Linked DNA regions of Canis lupus familiaris. The protein of the gene in region 1 purifies or fractionates together with the protein of each later gene. This does not show direct contact. Links are inferred from orthologs where the notes say so. Each region holds a gene or a part of one and is shown in the gene's direction. Other genes may lie near its edges.

What was found.
Region 2: the proteins of EIF3L (region 1) and ZNF746 purify together in Homo sapiens (affinity purification with mass spectrometry; 3 studies listed by BioGRID and IntAct, counting the BioPlex papers as one, with this or other methods). This does not show direct contact. The link is inferred for Canis lupus familiaris from reciprocal best matches to the Homo sapiens genes EIF3L and ZNF746.
Region 3: the proteins of EIF3L (region 1) and EIF3B purify together in Homo sapiens (affinity purification with mass spectrometry; 8 studies listed by BioGRID and IntAct, counting the BioPlex papers as one, with this or other methods). This does not show direct contact. The link is inferred for Canis lupus familiaris from reciprocal best matches to the Homo sapiens genes EIF3L and EIF3B.

The regions. Positions count from the first base shown.
Region 1 is NC_049231.1:27,760,708-27,766,250, reverse strand, and holds part of EIF3L (eukaryotic translation initiation factor 3 subunit L), read left to right. Parts: intron 1-742; coding exon 743-897; intron 898-1,607; coding exon 1,608-1,778; intron 1,779-2,818; coding exon 2,819-3,316; intron 3,317-5,543. UniProt on the Homo sapiens protein: Component of the eukaryotic translation initiation factor 3 (eIF-3) complex, which is required for several steps in the initiation of protein synthesis.
Region 2 is NC_049237.1:15,145,190-15,150,732, reverse strand, and holds part of ZNF746 (zinc finger protein 746), read left to right. Parts: intron 1-863; coding exon 864-1,163; intron 1,164-1,291; coding exon 1,292-1,373; intron 1,374-2,515; coding exon 2,516-2,629; intron 2,630-5,543.
Region 3 is NC_049227.1:14,939,613-14,945,155, reverse strand, and holds part of EIF3B (eukaryotic translation initiation factor 3 subunit B), read left to right. Parts: intron 1-3,014; coding exon 3,015-3,207; intron 3,208-5,064; coding exon 5,065-5,184; intron 5,185-5,493; coding exon 5,494-5,543.

The DNA.
Region 1 (5,543 bases):
TCTTACTGAAATGTAACAGGCTCACCTCATTCATTTATAAGAAAATGTCTGCCAGATACTCTAAGTAACCATAATTTGTCAGTCATTCTTTTAAGTAAAAATGGTTTTCGTGAAAAAAAGTGGCTGGTTCTTTTACTGCGTGAGGGAAAGAATACAGTAATTGCTAATGCAGTTTGGTACCACTGCCTGGTTTATGCTAAGTTGTGAGTCATTTGTACCCACTGTTGTTTTTGCACCATCAGTGCAAATCTCACTCTAGTGAGAAAGACAAATAGGATCTTAGTGTTATTAGGAAAACAGCTTTGACCCCATGAACTTATTGAAAGTAGTTGCCTTGATGAGTAACTGCTCCTGATAAAAGGGGCCATCTCCATATTCTCAGGTGTCTTGGGACCAAGAAAATAACCAAAAACCACAACAGCCACTCCCCTCACGCAACTCCTGTTGGTAAATTTAAAATTAGTATAAGGCCAGGGACACCTGGCCAGTCAGTAAGTAGAGCATGTGATCTTGATCTTGGGGTCATGAGTTCGAGCCCCACATTAGGTATAGAGATTACTTTAAAAAGATTAGTTTAAGGTCAGGCATGTTGCCTCTGGGTGTTCCTTTGAAGGCAGTTATTCCCTGTTGCAGGAAGCTTTAGAGGCCAGTAGTAGGTGAAGAGTTGATTAATATTCAAGGCTCAGGTTTCCCTTCCTTCACCTGCCCCTGCTGAAATGTTCACCATGTCTATTTCTCTCAGGTGACCCCGAGAGTGTGGCTGGCGAGTATGGACGGCACTCCCTTTACAAGATGCTTGGGTATTTCAGCCTGGTGGGGCTTCTGCGTCTGCACTCCCTTTTAGGGGATTACTACCAGGCCATCAAGGTGCTGGAGAATATTGAACTGAATAAGAAGGTGATTACTTGTTTCCCCCTGCCCTGCTACCCAGAGCCAGAGACTCTGCTTTGAGAGAATCTATAAGGACAAGTTTCAGGGAGCAAAAAGAAGATTCTTCCCCAGGCCATTTGAAAATTGAGACTTGCATGTGGACAAGGTGCTTTCTCTTTGTTGCTTAGTAATACTTGAAATGTTCAGCGGTCTTTCTATTTTCAAAACAATGATAACGTAGATTTTTATTACTCCAGTTTCACTATTTAAGGAATTTGTGAGAGACTTAGTTCTAGGATAGTATAATGATGATTAGCTGTGGTGGTTTTTTCTTAGCCACAGAAAAACTGGTATTTTCTGGACACGTGTGTATGTATCATTCAGTCTTGTTGATCTGTTTCTTTATTGGGTTTACCTGGAAAATCAAGGAGTAGAAAGCAAGGAAGAATACATAACTGAGATGTGGAGGGATATGGAGCTGAAAGAAATGTTAAGGTCACCTGATCCAGTCCCTTTTTATTATATCTAACAAGATGGAGTTCTCAGGTCATATGATTTAGTAAATGGTATAATCTGTATTCAGAGCCTCTAACTCCAGAACCAGGGCTTCCCCTGGGTAGTTCAGGGCTTCTACAGGGGGCTTCTACTTCAGCTGACACTGGACCCTGCCAACTTCCAGACTCTCTCTGGGATGTATTGATTTGGGGACTTACGGATGCTTCTGCCTCCTTCCACAGAGTATGTATTCTCGTGTGCCTGAGTGTCAGGTCACCACATACTACTATGTCGGTTTTGCATATTTGATGATGCGTCGCTACCAGGATGCCATCCGGGTATTTGCCAATATCCTCCTCTACATCCAAAGGACCAAGAGCATGTTCCAAAGGACTACATACAAGTATGAGATGGTAAGGAAGCCTTTGACCAGCTTGATGTCTTGGTACCTATGCCAACAGTTTTTGGTAAATGCTATCCAAAATTTTGCCTTTTATATGTCCTTTCAGTAGGATGATTTCTTAATGGCTGGTCTACTCTTAGTTTCTTTTGTTGTGCCTATTATTTTCAGACCATGAACTCCTTGACGATAAGGACAGTATCTTTTGTTTTACTTTTGTCCCCCAGCAGTGCCTACATTTATTCAGCAACAATTTGCTGAGTGTTCACTGGGCTGTGGGTGTTTTAAAGTGAGTTAGTTGGGGTACAACCCTCAAGCAGTTTGCCATGGAGGAGGGAGGGTCCAAGACATGCATAGAATTGGAAGGTATCTAGGCAGAGCAAAGGTGCTGAAACTTGTAGTACAGTGATGTAGCAGCACAATTAACTACTTTGTTGGAGGGCCGTAGATTAGTCAAATTGGGGTTTTGGTTCTGGGTAACCTTCACTACCCAGACTCCCAGCTGAAGTATTTAATCTTTATAGGCATTATGGTGCCATCAGAGTTTCTGGGTGACTTGGTCATAATGATGTGGGAGGATTGATGTGCCAGTGAAGTGTGGTGGGCCAGGGAGAGTGAGAAGAAGGCTCTACTAAAGAATCCAGGAGCCAGGGTAGCCTGGGTGGCTCAGTGGTTTAGCGCCATCTTCAGCCAGGGCATGATCTTGGAGACCCAAGATTGAATCCCATGTGGGGCTCCCTGCATGGAGCCTGCTTCTCCCTCTGCCTGTGTCTCTGCCTCTCTCTCTCTCTGTCTCATGAATAAATAAAATCTTAAAAAAAAAAAAGGAATCTAGGAGCCAGTTCCAGAGGCTCTGGAAGTGGGCCAGAAGTTCAGTAGATCTAGAGGGCAGATTAGGAGAGACTTCGGGAAAGTTAACTGACCGAGGTAAACTAGGGAGAAATCAGAGGTCTGAGCGTAGTGTACTTGGGAGGGTGGTGGAGCCACGTTGGATGTGGGACCTCAGAAAGTCTATCTCATTTGACCCCGCACCAATTTCTCTTGCATCCCCAGATTAACAAGCAAAATGAGCAGATGCACGCGCTGCTGGCCATCGCCCTCACCATGTACCCCATGCGAATCGATGAGAGCATTCACCTGCAGCTGCGGGAGAAATACGGGGATAAGATGCTACGCATGCAGAAGGGTGACCCACAGGTCTATGAGGAACTTTTCAGTTACTCGTGCCCCAAATTCCTGTCACCTGTGGTGCCCAACTATGATAATGTGCACCCCAACTACCACAAGGAGCCCTTCCTGCAGCAGCTGAAGGTGTTTTCTGATGAAGTGCAGCAGCAGGCCCAGCTCTCCACCATCCGTAGCTTCCTCAAGCTGTACACTACCATGCCTGTGGCCAAGCTGGCCGGCTTCCTGGACCTCACAGAGCAGGAGTTCAGGATCCAGCTCCTTGTCTTCAAGCATAAGATGAAGAACCTAGTGTGGACCAGTGGCATCTCTGCCCTTGACGGTGAATTTCAGTCGGCATCCGAAGTTGACTTCTACATTGATAAGGTATGGCTGCCCCCTGGCCTCATCCTCTGGGGCCCTCTGTCTATCCATTCAGTAGGCAGTGTTTACCAGGTGCCTGCTATTCTGAGCATTTGGGTGGGACTTAGCAGTGAACAAAATCAGCAAAGATTTCTGCCCTCGCACCCATATTCTAATGTTAAAAAACAGGCATTATCGTGAAGCAGACCATGTGGTAGGTATCAATGCAAAATGAACACACCTTTTTAAAAAATTTTTTTTTAAATTTTTTTTTTAAATTTTTATTTATTTATGATAGTTACAGAGAGAGAGAGAGGCAGAGACACAGGCAGAGGGAGAAGCAGGCTCCATGCACCGGGAGCCCGATGTGGGATTCGATCCCGGGTCTCCAGAATCGCGCCCTGGGCCAAAGGCAGGCGCCAAACCACTGCGCCACCCAGGGATCCCTCTTTTTAAAAATTTTTAAAGAAAAAAGTTTCATTTGGGCACAAGTTAAGATGGCTGCTTGGAAATACACAGTCTTCACAAAGAGGAGAGTGCTCCAGGGAAGGAACAGTTGGGCAAGAGTATATACGTTTTTGTTTTTGTTTTTGTTTTACATAAAGAGTTATAAGTCGTGATGAAAGACTTTCCAGAAAGGCTGTAAGACTGGAGTCTAATGGGAATCAGCAAGGGTTTTTTTCTTTATGTTTGGAATGCTGCTTTTTGTTTTTGTTTTTTAATGAAGCAGCTGTACAGTGTGTACTTGGGACAGGAACAGAACCCATGCTTTGAGGTTTTGCCAAGACATTTTGACCCTGGGTAAATGTTTTACGAGGAGCAGGGCCCACAGTGAAAAGTTGAAAATTTCCTTTATTTTCTCATAGGTAGAAATTGCCAAGTGCTATGCATTTAAGGGTAATGGTGCTAGAAGATAGAGGTTGCATTATTACATAAGGTGCTCCAGGTAGCCTTTGTCCAGGAAGTTAAATTGTAGCTAAGACTTGAAGGAGGTGAAGAAATTAGCCAAACAAGTATGTGGGGGAGCAGCATTCCAAGGAGAGGGAGCGGTAAAGGCAAAGGCCCTGGGGTAGGAGTGAATCCAGTATTTTTGAGGGACAGCTTCAGTGTGGCTGCAGTGGCCTGTGAGAGGGTATTGTGGCAGAAGAGAAGATTGGAGAAGAAAGCAGGAGAGGATGGTACAGATTTTTGGAAGTAACTCAGCAAGTCGGAGTTATTCTCCTGACTTGTCCCCACCCTAGATTAGTTAGCACCTAGATTAGTGCTGCCTGGTTTTGAACTTGGTGTAATGGACTGACATAGCATGTGCTCTTTCTTTGTGACTGGCTTCTTTTGCTCAGTGTTACATTTGAGAGCATCGCCATGCACAACAGTCCATCAGTGCTCACTGCTGCAGTAGTTGGCTGCGATTTTCCCATTCTAATGCTGATGGACATTTGAGTGGTGTAGGTTATTACAAAAAGTACATGTGGTTTTAGAGACTGGCTGTCAGTGGTCCACTTAAGGGTTTTTTTGTGTGTGTAATAATTTTATAGATGCTTATGAATGCAGAAGTTATAGGTTTTATTTATTTATTTATTCATGAGAGACACAGAGAGAGGGAGAAGCAGGCTCCACGCAAGGAGCCCAATGTGGGACTCGAACCCAGGAATCCGGGATCACACCCTGACCCAAAGGCAGGCGCTCAACCACTGAGCCACCCAGGTGTCCCCGCCCCCCACATCAACTATTTATTTATTTGTTTATTTATTTTTATGATAGTCACAGAGAGAGAGAGAGAGAGAGGCAGAGACATAGGCAGAGGGAGAAGCAGGCTCCATGCACCGGGAGCCCGATGTGGGATTCATCCCGGGTCTCCAGGATCGCGCCCTGGGCCAAAGGCAAACGCCAAACCGCTGCGCCACCCAGGGATCCCTCACATCAACTATTTAAAGTCCTATTCGAATTTATTCTTGGTGCCTGACATATATTCTTTGGCAGTATTGGTAACCTGCTCCATCCTCCTATCATAACTTTGTGACCCAGCTGGACTAGCCCCAATTATCTAGATGGTCTTTTTTTTTTTTTTTTTTTTTTTTTTTTTTTTAATTTATTTACTCATGAGAGACACAGAGAGAGAGAGGCAGAGACACAGGCAGAGGAAGAAGCAGGCTCCATGCAGGGAGCCCGATGTGGGACTTGATCCTGGGACTCCAAAATCACACCTTTAGCCAAAGGCAGATACTCAACCGCTGAACCACCAAGGTGTCCC
Region 2 (5,543 bases), on another chromosome or scaffold:
GTTTTACCTTAAAATCTGTAAGGTGTGCCACTGATCCTGGGGTAGTTACAAAAATGTCTCAGGCCCTTGAGAGGGGTGGGTATGGTGAGAGAAACAGACTCTGGGGCCCCAGTGGACCTGTGTTGATTTTGTCCCCTTGACCAGCCACACTACCTGTGTCAAAAAGTCTAACTCTTGGCCAGGGGAGATTTACACTAATGGTGATGTTTAGTTTAAGGAGGAGCAGCTGGGAGGAGACCATCTGATTGTACTGGGGGAAGAGGAATTAGCTGTTTGATTTTTATGTTTATTAAAAAGAGGCACGAGATGCTTTAAAAAAAAAAAAAAAAAAAGGAAAAAAAAAGCAGTTGAGCAATGCTCATGTTTGTGCCGGTTCAGTGAACCAGCTGTTTTTTTTGCTAGGTCATCATCCGTAGACAGTTCCTGTGTGATTATGATGGGAGGTGCTGGCTGGGCTCTAGTAAATCTGCAGTTTACTATTTATCCCCTGAAAGGCGCTGGCAGTGCTAAGTCACTGTTTATTTAACAGAATTGCACTGAGCACCTTCCACGGGCCACGTGCTGTGCTACAAAAGATGCAGTGCTGCCTTCAGAGAGCTGGGATGGGCAAATGCGGGAGGGCACCGGGCAGGGCAGTGAGTGCCAGGCCGTGGATGGAAGGTGGTGCACAGCGCACATCGGTGGTGCCTGGGTTACCCAGAGGAGCTGATAGCTAGGCTGAGATCATGCATGTGGCACAGGGAATCCCCACTTTCAATAGGAGCTCTGCGCCCCTTGCCAAGCCCCCTCCCCCTGGGGGAGAGGGGCTCCAGGAACGTGGTGGAGGGATTGAGTGGTCACAGACTTCTCTTTGTTTCTGAAAGATTTCTCCGTGGACGATGGCAGCCACAATTCAGGCCATGGAGAGGAAGATCGAATCGCAGGCTGCCCGCTTGCTTTCCCTAGAAGGGCGGACAGGGATGGCCGAGAAGAAGCTGGCGGACTGCGAGAAGACGGCTGTGGAGTTCGGGAACCAGCTGGAGGGCAAGTGGGCCGTGCTGGGGACCCTGCTGCAGGAGTATGGGCTGCTGCAGAGGCGGCTGGAGAACATGGAGAACCTGCTGAAAAACCGAAATTTCTGGATTCTGCGGCTGCCACCAGGCAGCAAAGGAGAAGTCCCCAAGGTATCCCTCAGGCACCTGGGGTGGGATGGCCTGAGGGGTGGTGCCTGTAAGTGTGTGGGTGAGCGTGCGTGACACTGTTCCAGGTGCCTGTGACCTTTGATGATGTGGCCATGTATCTCTCTGAGCAGGAGTGGGGCAAGCTGGACGAGTGGCAGAAGGAGCTCTACAAGCACGTGATGCGGGGCAACTACGAGACACTGGTGTCCCTGGGTAAGGCCTGATACTCATTTTTCTGTTAAATGTGATTTTGAGTGTCTCCAAACTCCTCTCCATGCTGGTGGCTTTCGTCACCAGGATGTGTAAATCACTAGAAACTCTGACCATGCAAAGAGTTATTTCCTCCTCTTACTAAAGATGAGTACCAGGTGACCGAGTCAAAAGCTCCCTGTACCCGGTGAAGTTCACAGGTTGCCAGACAGAGAGGGGTGGTGGCATTTCTCCTAACCAGGCACGGAGCATGGACGTCTCTGTCCTGCTGAGACAGAGTCAAGCCTCTGGCTGCTCTCAGGTCCAGGATGTCATGGGCCCAGATTCCTTTGGCCTTCTCTTACAGGAATATGTGGTCTTTCTGGTGACATTCCTCTGGGTTAGTGAAGAATCTGGGCAGACCATGCTTCCCATACCAGTGCTGTCTTCATCCCTCGAGGCTCTGCTCCCTCAGACCCTGGGGCCACTGTCACGGTCCACACATGGTAGCCCCAAGAGGCTGTTCCTTCCAGGGCTTCTTTCCTCTTGGCACGGTTTTGGTTTCTGTGTGACCTCAGATCTGTAGGCAGTAAGGCATGCTCAGTGAAGATGGGAACAGGTGTAGGCGTGACATTATATTTCAGTTTGAAGAAATGCACTGCTGCCTAATGGGGAGACTCTACCAGTGTTTCTTCACCTGGGCACTGACATTTGGGGCCAGATGATTGTTGTGGGGCTGGTCTGTACAATGTGGGATGTTCAGCAGCAGCTGGTCTTGACCCACCAGTGCCAGGAGCATTTCACCCCCCAACCCCCGGTCGTGACAATCAAAAATGTCGGAGCAGCCTGGATGGCTCAGCAGTTTAGCACTGCCGTCAACCCAGGGCCTGATCCTGGGGACCCAGGATCGAGTCCCGCGTCAAGCTCCCTCTATGGAGTCTGCATCTCCCTCTGCCTGTGTCTCTCATGAATAAATTAAAAAAAAAAAAAAAAGACACCAAACTGCTGAATGTCCCCTAGGAGACAAATTGCCTGTTGGTGGAGAACCAGTGCTCTATACTAATCTAGAAGTTTCATTTCTTGGCCACTCTTGGATTCCTAGGCTGCCTGTCCCCAGCTCTGAATGGGACTCCATGGCCAAAGCTAACCTTTGTGTCCTTCCTCAGACTATGCCATCTCCAAGCCCGAGGTCCTCTCCCAGACCGAACAGGGGAAGGAGCCGTGCAGCTGGCGTCGCCCTGGCCCCAAGGTTCCAGATGTTCCTGTGGACCCAAGTCCAGGTGAGGAGCTGAGAGAAGGCAAGGGACACCAGGCAGTCAGGTGGAAACAGGGAAGTAAAGGGCCACAGGGGGTATGACCTTTCCAGGAAGGGCCAAGAAGAAACCTCAGACTCGAATGTTTTAAGTCTAAGTTTTTTAATAGTTATGACCTATAGCCTGCTCTGCAGACACTCCAGGAATACTTCCCAGTGCGGAAAACAGGCAGCAAACCTAGTCTTTTAGAAGAGAGATAGGGCAGCCCTGGTGGCTCAGTGGTTTAGCACCACCTTCAGCTCAGGGCCTGATTCTGGAGACCTGAGATCGAGTCCCACGTCGGGCTCCCTTTGTGGAGCCTGCTTCTCCCTCTGCCTGTGTCTCTGCCTCTCTCTCTCTCTCTCTCTCTCTCTCTCTCTCTGTGTGTGTGTCTCTCATGAATAAGTATATAAAATTTTAAAAAAAAAGTAAAATTCTAAAAAAAGAAAAGAGATAGAGCCAGTGCACAGATCAGGGGAAGAGAAGATAGGACATTGATCGGGAAGGTAGGAGTGTGTTGAAGACAAAATTTGATTCCTTCCCAGTGTTCTGAAGAGCCAGCCTTACCCCCAGCCAGGAGCCAATCCCAGTGGCTGGCCACGTGTTTCAACATGATTATAACGACAGATTTATTTAAGGTGGATCTGGATACCCGATATCCCTGCCTCAGATCTTCCTGGAGCCAGCCAGCACCTCTGAAAGTTCAGGAGGAGGCAGGTGGCTGCGTGAGGAAAGCCAGGTTACTGAAGTGAGGCCCTCGGCAGGTGCGGGGAGGTGACAGTCCATCCCTGGCCAGGAGACCCTGCCTCTGCAGGCTCAGCCCACTTTCTGCACAGAACTGCCTTGCCTGTCCCACCTGCCTCGGGTTCCCTTGTCTGAATGCCTGTGTTACTAAAAAAGTCCTACTGTGTTTCCTTTGTGATTACTGACATGCGTCTTCCACCGTAAGTAGGCAAGTAGAGTGTCATGCTGCCAGAGCAGCCCATGCGCAGAGCCGGCCACACAGTCGGTGTTCAGGACAGCTGTCACCAGTTGAGTTCCACAGACATCCCTTGAGACTATGCTAGGTGCCAAGGCCAGAGCTGGAAGGGGAGGACAGAGAGATCACTAAGCAGAACGCTCTGTGAATGGAGAAGAGGCTTAGACATGGAGCCTGCCTTCCTAGCCTGGGGTGGGGGGACAGATGTGGGGGCCTCTCCGCTTCCCACCCCGCCACTCATGAATGTGAGAACGGGCCCAGAAATACGGTGGCTGCTGGTAAGACCCCCGACACGCCCTCCCCTCCAACACAAATTCCGCTCTCCACCTCCCCTGACATCAAGGACCCTATCACCCCACCCACATCAGCTGGAAAAGCCCTACCCCACCCCCCAGCTCGCTCCGCACCCTGTCTGTGCTTGCACAGCCCCTTGTTGGACCTGCCATCCCACTTGTCTTCAGTTCCTAAATTTTCCCACTACTTTGGGGCACTCAGTCCCTAGCAAGGCCTCAGATCCCCAGGCTCTCCCCGAGCATCCCCCTCATTCTTGTCCAAATGAGTCCTAGCTCTTCTTGCATCCTGGAGCCTGCATCCACTGCGTCCCACCCCTTCCTCACATCCAGGACAGCCGTGTCCCTGCTCCTCCATGTGGCCCCTGTGCTCCCCTCCTCCTTGGAAACCCCACCTCTCCCTCAGTTGCCTCCTGCAGACCCTGTCTCTGCTCCTGCCATTCTGGCCGGCTAGGGCAGCATTCCCAGAGGCCCTGCGAGGTCCCCAGCCTCCGCTCCCCCTCCACCACCCACCCTAAGGTCACTCCCCGCCCCAGCACCCACTGCAGACAGTGATGCACCCCTCCCATCATCTCAGTTTGAACCTGTCCCCACCCCATACCCCTCTCCTTCTTTTGCAGATCTCTCTTCCTAGGCCCTGACCCTAGCATCCAGCCCGTTCATGGTCCAGCTGGTCCTGGGTTCCCTCTTTGCCCAGCCAAGGCTCTGGCCCAGTGTCACCCTCACCCCCTCACCCCTCTTCGTCATTGTACTCACCTGGCAGAACTGTAATCTTGGTTAAATCTGCACCTGCTCCCACGCAGCTGCACACAGCTGGAGAGACCTCCTGAGCCCTGTTTTTCTCACCTGCAGGCTGGGGGGCCTTCAGCACTGCCCTCCCAAGTCACCCAGTGTCTCCTTGGTCCATTCAATTGCCCAGAGGATGGCAAACTCTGGCCCACAGGCCAAATCACCCACTGTGTTTTTTTGGCCCACCAGCTTAGAATGGTTTTCCTGTTGAAAAAACGCTGTTTAATTGAGAAAAAAAAAAAAAAAAAAAAGGAAACAACTCACAGCCCCCACCCCACCAGCCTATCTGCTTGTACCCAGGCCCTGGTCTCTGGGTTTGCTGCTGTGTCCACCCCTTCCTCCAAAGACCTGTCTCCACTGGGCATCAGACCCAGCGCAGGCTACCTTGGTGAGGCCTCGGGTTGCCTCCCCATCCTTCCCACCAGCCTCTGCCTTTGCTGTCACTTGTCCAGTTTGGGCACTGACCACTCATGACCCCACATCCCTGCAGCAACTGCCCCATTTCTACCTTCGTGTCCTGCTCCCCAGGAGTACCCTCCTCCAGTGCCTGCTTTCTCCCATTCCTCTTCCCACTCTGGAGGCCCTTCCATCAATACTCCTGTCAAGGCCACAGGGGCCCCCCATGGCATTAAAGATCTGGTCTTACCATTGGTGACATTTGCCACCATTGCTCGCTTTCTTCCCAGCTTCATTTCTTTGATGGTACTTCCTCTCCTGGTTTTCTCCTGCCTTACTTAACACCTTTCCTTTTCTGTTTCCTGGTGCTCTTCCTGACCTCTGTGCGTCACGGTATCCTCCCTCCTCCCTCCACACCCACACTTGCCATCCTGGCAGTGGCTGTGAG
Region 3 (5,543 bases), on another chromosome or scaffold:
CTATAGTTGTTTTTTTTTTTTTTTAAGAGCAATTGTTTGAGCACAAGTTTTCTGCCACATGAATTATTTCTAGAACTGGGCTGTGTGACAGTTGTCAGGACACTTATGTGGGCACAAGCCAGCCAGGCCAGGTGACCACCAGGAGGGTGTTGGGATCCTGTTGCTTTGGTCAGAGTGACCTGAGAGGCTCCTGGTCTTGGGGAACTAACACTGGGCACATGGCCAACTGGTTGGGGTCAGGATCCCAAGTATGTTTTGTGTTTAATGAGAACTGCCCTGCGGGGTCAGAGTGAGATGCAGAAGGTATGGGTGGGTTCTTTTTATTTTTTTTATTTTTTTATTTTTTTATTTTTGATAGTCAGAGAGAGAAAGGCAGAGACATAGGCAGAGGGAGAAGCAGGCTCCATGCACCGGGAGCCTGACGTGGGATTTGATCCCGGGTCTCCAGGATCGCGCCCTGGGCCAAAGGCAGGCACCAAACCGCTGCGCCACCCAGGGATCCCGGATGGGTTCTTTTGAAAGCAGACTGGGTCTCATGAAGAACCCTCTTGAGGTGCCAGCATACTCCAGTGAGATCATCCTGACTCCTAATTCTGAGACGCTATACTGTAACTCAGTTGCATTGTTCCCAAGGTCATCTGTTTAAATTTTCAGCTGCCTTTGATGCTCAGCCAGACAAGTACATGACAAAGGTTTTTTTTTTTTTTTTTTTAAGATTTTGTTATTTATTTGAGAGGGTGTGAGCAAGCAGGGAGAAGCAGATACAACCAACACCATACCACCCCCACCCCCACCCCCACCCCCACCTCCCTGTTGAGCAGGGAGCCCTATGCAGGTGGGATCCCAGGACCTTGAGATCATGACTTGAGCTGAAGGCAGATGCTTAAACGGCTCAGCCACCCGGGCACCCAAGATAAAGTTTTTATCTCAAGATATTTTCTTTTGGGCCCTATCAAGTATTATTTATCTTTACATTTGGCATTTAGTTTTGAGAATTGCTTCTTTGTTTCTCTCGGAGGCAGGTTGGGAATCCATTGGGCAGGAGTGACCAGATACACGGGCTGGTGACGATGAAGGATGTCTCTCTCCATTTTGCGGTTGCTGCTCTTACTCCCATACTGTACATGGGCACATTCTCATAAATGAGACACTTAAAGATTGTGAGAAGGAGTCCACAGTTTATATAAAAGCTGAGCTTATTATTGTAAACCTTGTAAATTCAGATCAGGCTAAACAGGCCATTTAATTGTATGTTAAGTGAACTTTAAAAACGACTCAAGGAGCTGACTCTAGCCTCAGTGGTGAAGATGTCTCTTATCGCTGTGACTCTAGTTAGAGCCTCTTCATTTTTTTTCTTTGCTCTCAATTTTAGACTCTTTGGAATTTGAGAGGCAATTGCTTTTTTTTTTTTTTTTTACAGTAATGCTTTTAATATTCATGAAAGTGTTGGAATTAATTAGATAGTTTGTAATAGCTTGCTTCTTGAAATTAAAAGACTTTTTTCAACTTTGAAAAATTTTTTTGACCTTTTTTGTATGGGAACTTTCCAGTACAAAAGTAGAGAAAGTACATATTAACTTAGAATGACATATAGGAAGGAATAGTTATGGGCACGTATCCTGGATAACATGTTGAAATTTTTGAATAGAATTCAGAACTTGGAGTAATAATTGAGTTCTAGGACATGCAGGTACACAAGTAAAAGCCACCACATTCCTCAGCTGTTTCTCCTTTGGGCTGTATGTACTGATGTAGCTTCATCTGTCAGTGGCTCTGACAGCATCTTTGATCGGTTTGAGCTCCTAATGCAGCCAGTGCTCTTTGTAACTTTATAGCTTTCTAGACTAGCAACTAATTAGGTTAAGGATTTGTGCAGAATTTATATTAAATGTTCTCTGGTAACTCATTTGACCTCTGAATGTCCGTCTCCAGCAGCAGGCCTGAGGTAGACAGCAGTAGGCAGCACCCAGGTGGCATTGAATCTTCTGGACAGACTGTACCATGTCCATTCTCACACCTGTGATCTGCTCCCCAAGAGCTGCTTTTCCTGGTCCTTCCACACTTGTTCTTTTCTTTCTCTTACCTAGCCATTCACCTTATGCAAATGAAGGAAATCTAAGATGTTTGCGTACTTAAGATGTTGAATACTGAAATTTTAATTTTTTTTTAAGATTTTATTTATTTATTCATGAGAGGCAGAGACATAGGCAGAGAGAAGCAGGCTCCATGCAGGGAGCCTGATGTAAGACTCTATCCCAGAAGTTCAGGACCATGTCTTGGGCGGAAGGCAGGCACTAAACCGCTGAGCCATTCAGGTATCCCTAAAATTTTAATTTTTAAAGTAGGTGATGTGAACAATACGTTTTTAGTTTGGGGTTTTGTTGTTTAAGTTTTCAATTTTTGAATGTTGTTATGAAAATAGTGGTTAACATGTACTGCTTAATGTGTCTTGAGCACAGTCCTAAACATTTGTGGACTTACTATCTGAATGGCTGGTGCCTCTCCAGCATCCTGAGGCATCTCATGGAATCCCAGGGATCCCAGGTCCCTTTGCCATTTGCTCTCAGGAACCTGTGGATTCTCTAATCTCCTCTTCTTACTAGGCTGAGGCTATTTTACATAAAGAGTTGTTTGTTTTGTCTTAACCTGAATGGGAAGAAAGTGCCTGCTGGTGGGTTTGCATTCAGGGTGGGTCAGAAAGCCCCCACCCTGCTTTCCCTGAGAAAAGCTGTTCTCTTTGTTGGCATTCTGCATAAAAAGAAAAAATCATTTAAAATCTTCCATTATTTTCAGGAATGAATGGACATATTGATGGACAAAGGGAGCATGAAGAGTTAAAATCTTCCTAACTTTTTCAAGTTTAAATTTTGAGTCAGTTCAGGGTCATGATCTTTTGTTCATAGTGAAAGTGCTTATTCACTTTTTACTTCTTCGGAATTTCTTTAGCGTGCTAACCGTATTAATGTTTTGCTTGGACAAAAAAAAGTAATTTGTCAAATCTTTCACCTGTACAGAACTGCTGGGAGACATTCTCAAGGACCGGCCCCAGGAGGCCGACGGGATCGACTCGGTGATTGTAGTCGACAACGTTCCTCAGGTGGGACCCGACCGCCTGGAGAAGCTCAAAAATGTCATCCATAAGATCTTTTCCAAGTTTGGGAAAATCACAAATGATTTTTATCCAGAGGAGGATGGAAAGACAAAAGGGTGAGTGGTATTGGTCCCTGACACCCTTTGGTGGCAACCAGGTGGCACTGGGGTCCCTGTGGACACACACACACACACACACACACACACACACACACACGGTGCACCCTCACCTGGCACGTCTGCCTCTGTTCATTCTGCCTCCCTCAGCTGAGAGCTCCACAGGCAGGAGGAGATGTAGGTGATCCTGAATTTGGGTATTGTGAGTTGGCTGCTAAATTCTTAAGAAATCAGAGCTTGGAATTTAAATCTTCTGCCATCAGAGTAGTAACTGATACAAGATACATCCTGAATAAAGGGGACCAACAGATTGGAAGCTGACAAAATTTCAGGAAAATTTTACATATGGTATTTTATTGATTCTAAGATTCTTTTTCCTCCTCATTCATATCTCTGAAATGGGGATACTTCTTACAGTTTAGGTGAAAGCAGTGTGTCACTGCTTAATTAGCAACTTTTTTTCTACTGTTAACCTAAAATGGTGCAACTATTAAAAATGGTAGCATGAGGTACGAGTCCTAGAATTCACTTTTTAAATTTAATGTGAGGTTCTGTATTATAAAAGTGATTGTAGCTCCTTCATTTTCAGGGCTGTGCTATTCTGTTGTATAATCAGCAGTTCTGTCAGTTGACATTTAGCATTTTGCAGTTAGGGACAGTCTTGGACCCATCCCCTTTAGAAGAGGTGTGAGCCTTTCCTTGCTATACACTTGGAATGGAATTGGCTTGCTTAAAATGCCCATGTGTAGTCCAAGTAGACAATGTCAAATTATGTTTGGGTGATTCTCAGCCGTTTTCACTCAGCCCACAGAACGAGTTCTGTTTGCTGCTCTACAAGCTTGTCAGAATTCTCCATTAGAATTTCATGTGACACTGGCCTCAGAGTACAAGGCAGGAATGAGAAGATGATAAAACTTAGACTTTTTAAATTCAGATTTTGGAACTACCTCAGATTTAAAGAAATCTTTTTTTTTTTTTTTAACTGCCAAATACAGGTTATGCTCCTTGCCTTTTCTATTTCAGAAACAATGTAGAAAGGATACATTGTAGGATACATTGTTATCCTGAAGGATAATCTCTTTTTGACCAGCAGTTGCTTGTCTTGTATGTTTTGTTATGAAGCACTCACTGAAAGCCTTTAAAATTTTACTTTCCATGAGGAATTCATTTATTTATTTGGTGGGGAGGGGCAGAGGGAGGAGAAAGAGTCCCAAGCAGACTGTGCTGAGTGCGCAGAGCCCGACACAGAGCTTGATCTCATGATCCTGAGATCAGGACCTGAGCTGAAACAAAGATTGACACTTAACTCTGTCACCCAGGAGCCCCCATAATTTTGCTTTTATTCTTTTAAAGTTTGTAAAATTTATTTTTATTTGTAGCAAAGCAGAGTTTATTGAGCAATAGTAAGCTGATAATACAAGGCTTCTGAAGAATGAGGAGACCTGAGAGAGTTGCCCTTTATAATTTTACTCTTAATGCACAATATTAGACTGTGCATGGTCTCAAGATTTTTAATAGCTTTATTTGAAATTTGCTGTATAATACAGTTGCTTAGTCTTAAAGTGTATAATCTCATAAATTTGACAGGTGTACATCTGTGAAACTGTTACGTGGTAAACATTTTAATTAACTTGTGTAACTTGTGATTGTGGCCTGAAAGACTTTGGATCTTCTGTTAGGATTTCGTTTGTGTTTAGGGAAGCCCTGTGCTCTCGTGAGTTGACTCTTGGGGATGTGGTAGATGGGTCACTGGCCTTGATGGTGCTTACAGTAACGTGGACGGGTCTTGGTGTGTTGAGCATGGCCTGCCCAGTCTTAGAGTCTGAAGTTGTGCAAAATGGTCTTGTCTTGATTCAGGTATACATTCCTGGAATACGCATCTCCTGCCCACGCCTTGGATGCTGTGAAAAATGCTGATGGCTACAAGCTGGACAAGCAGCACACGTTCAGAGTCAACCTGTTCACAGACTTTGACAAGTAAGTTCTGGCCTGGTTATGATCCGGATCTTCACCGGACATGAGAGGCTTAGCACCTCTGGGGCGGTGTGGGGCGCCTTCCTGGTAGCCCTGTCCCCAGGCAAACCACTGTGGGAATGTTTTCCATCCCCTCCCCTGGCAATCCTGACCAGTAGCACCCTCACCACAAGGATCCCTCGCCCATTATTCCCACCACCACCCCAGTGGGCAAGGGGCCGCCCCACACTGCCTGTGGCTCAGAACTCCCAGTGTTGCTACCACCCCTTGTAGTTGTGCGCATGTTTCTCATTAGTGTTTCCTTTATTCTAGGTATATGACCATCAGTGATGAGTGGGATATTCCAGAGAAACAACCTTTCA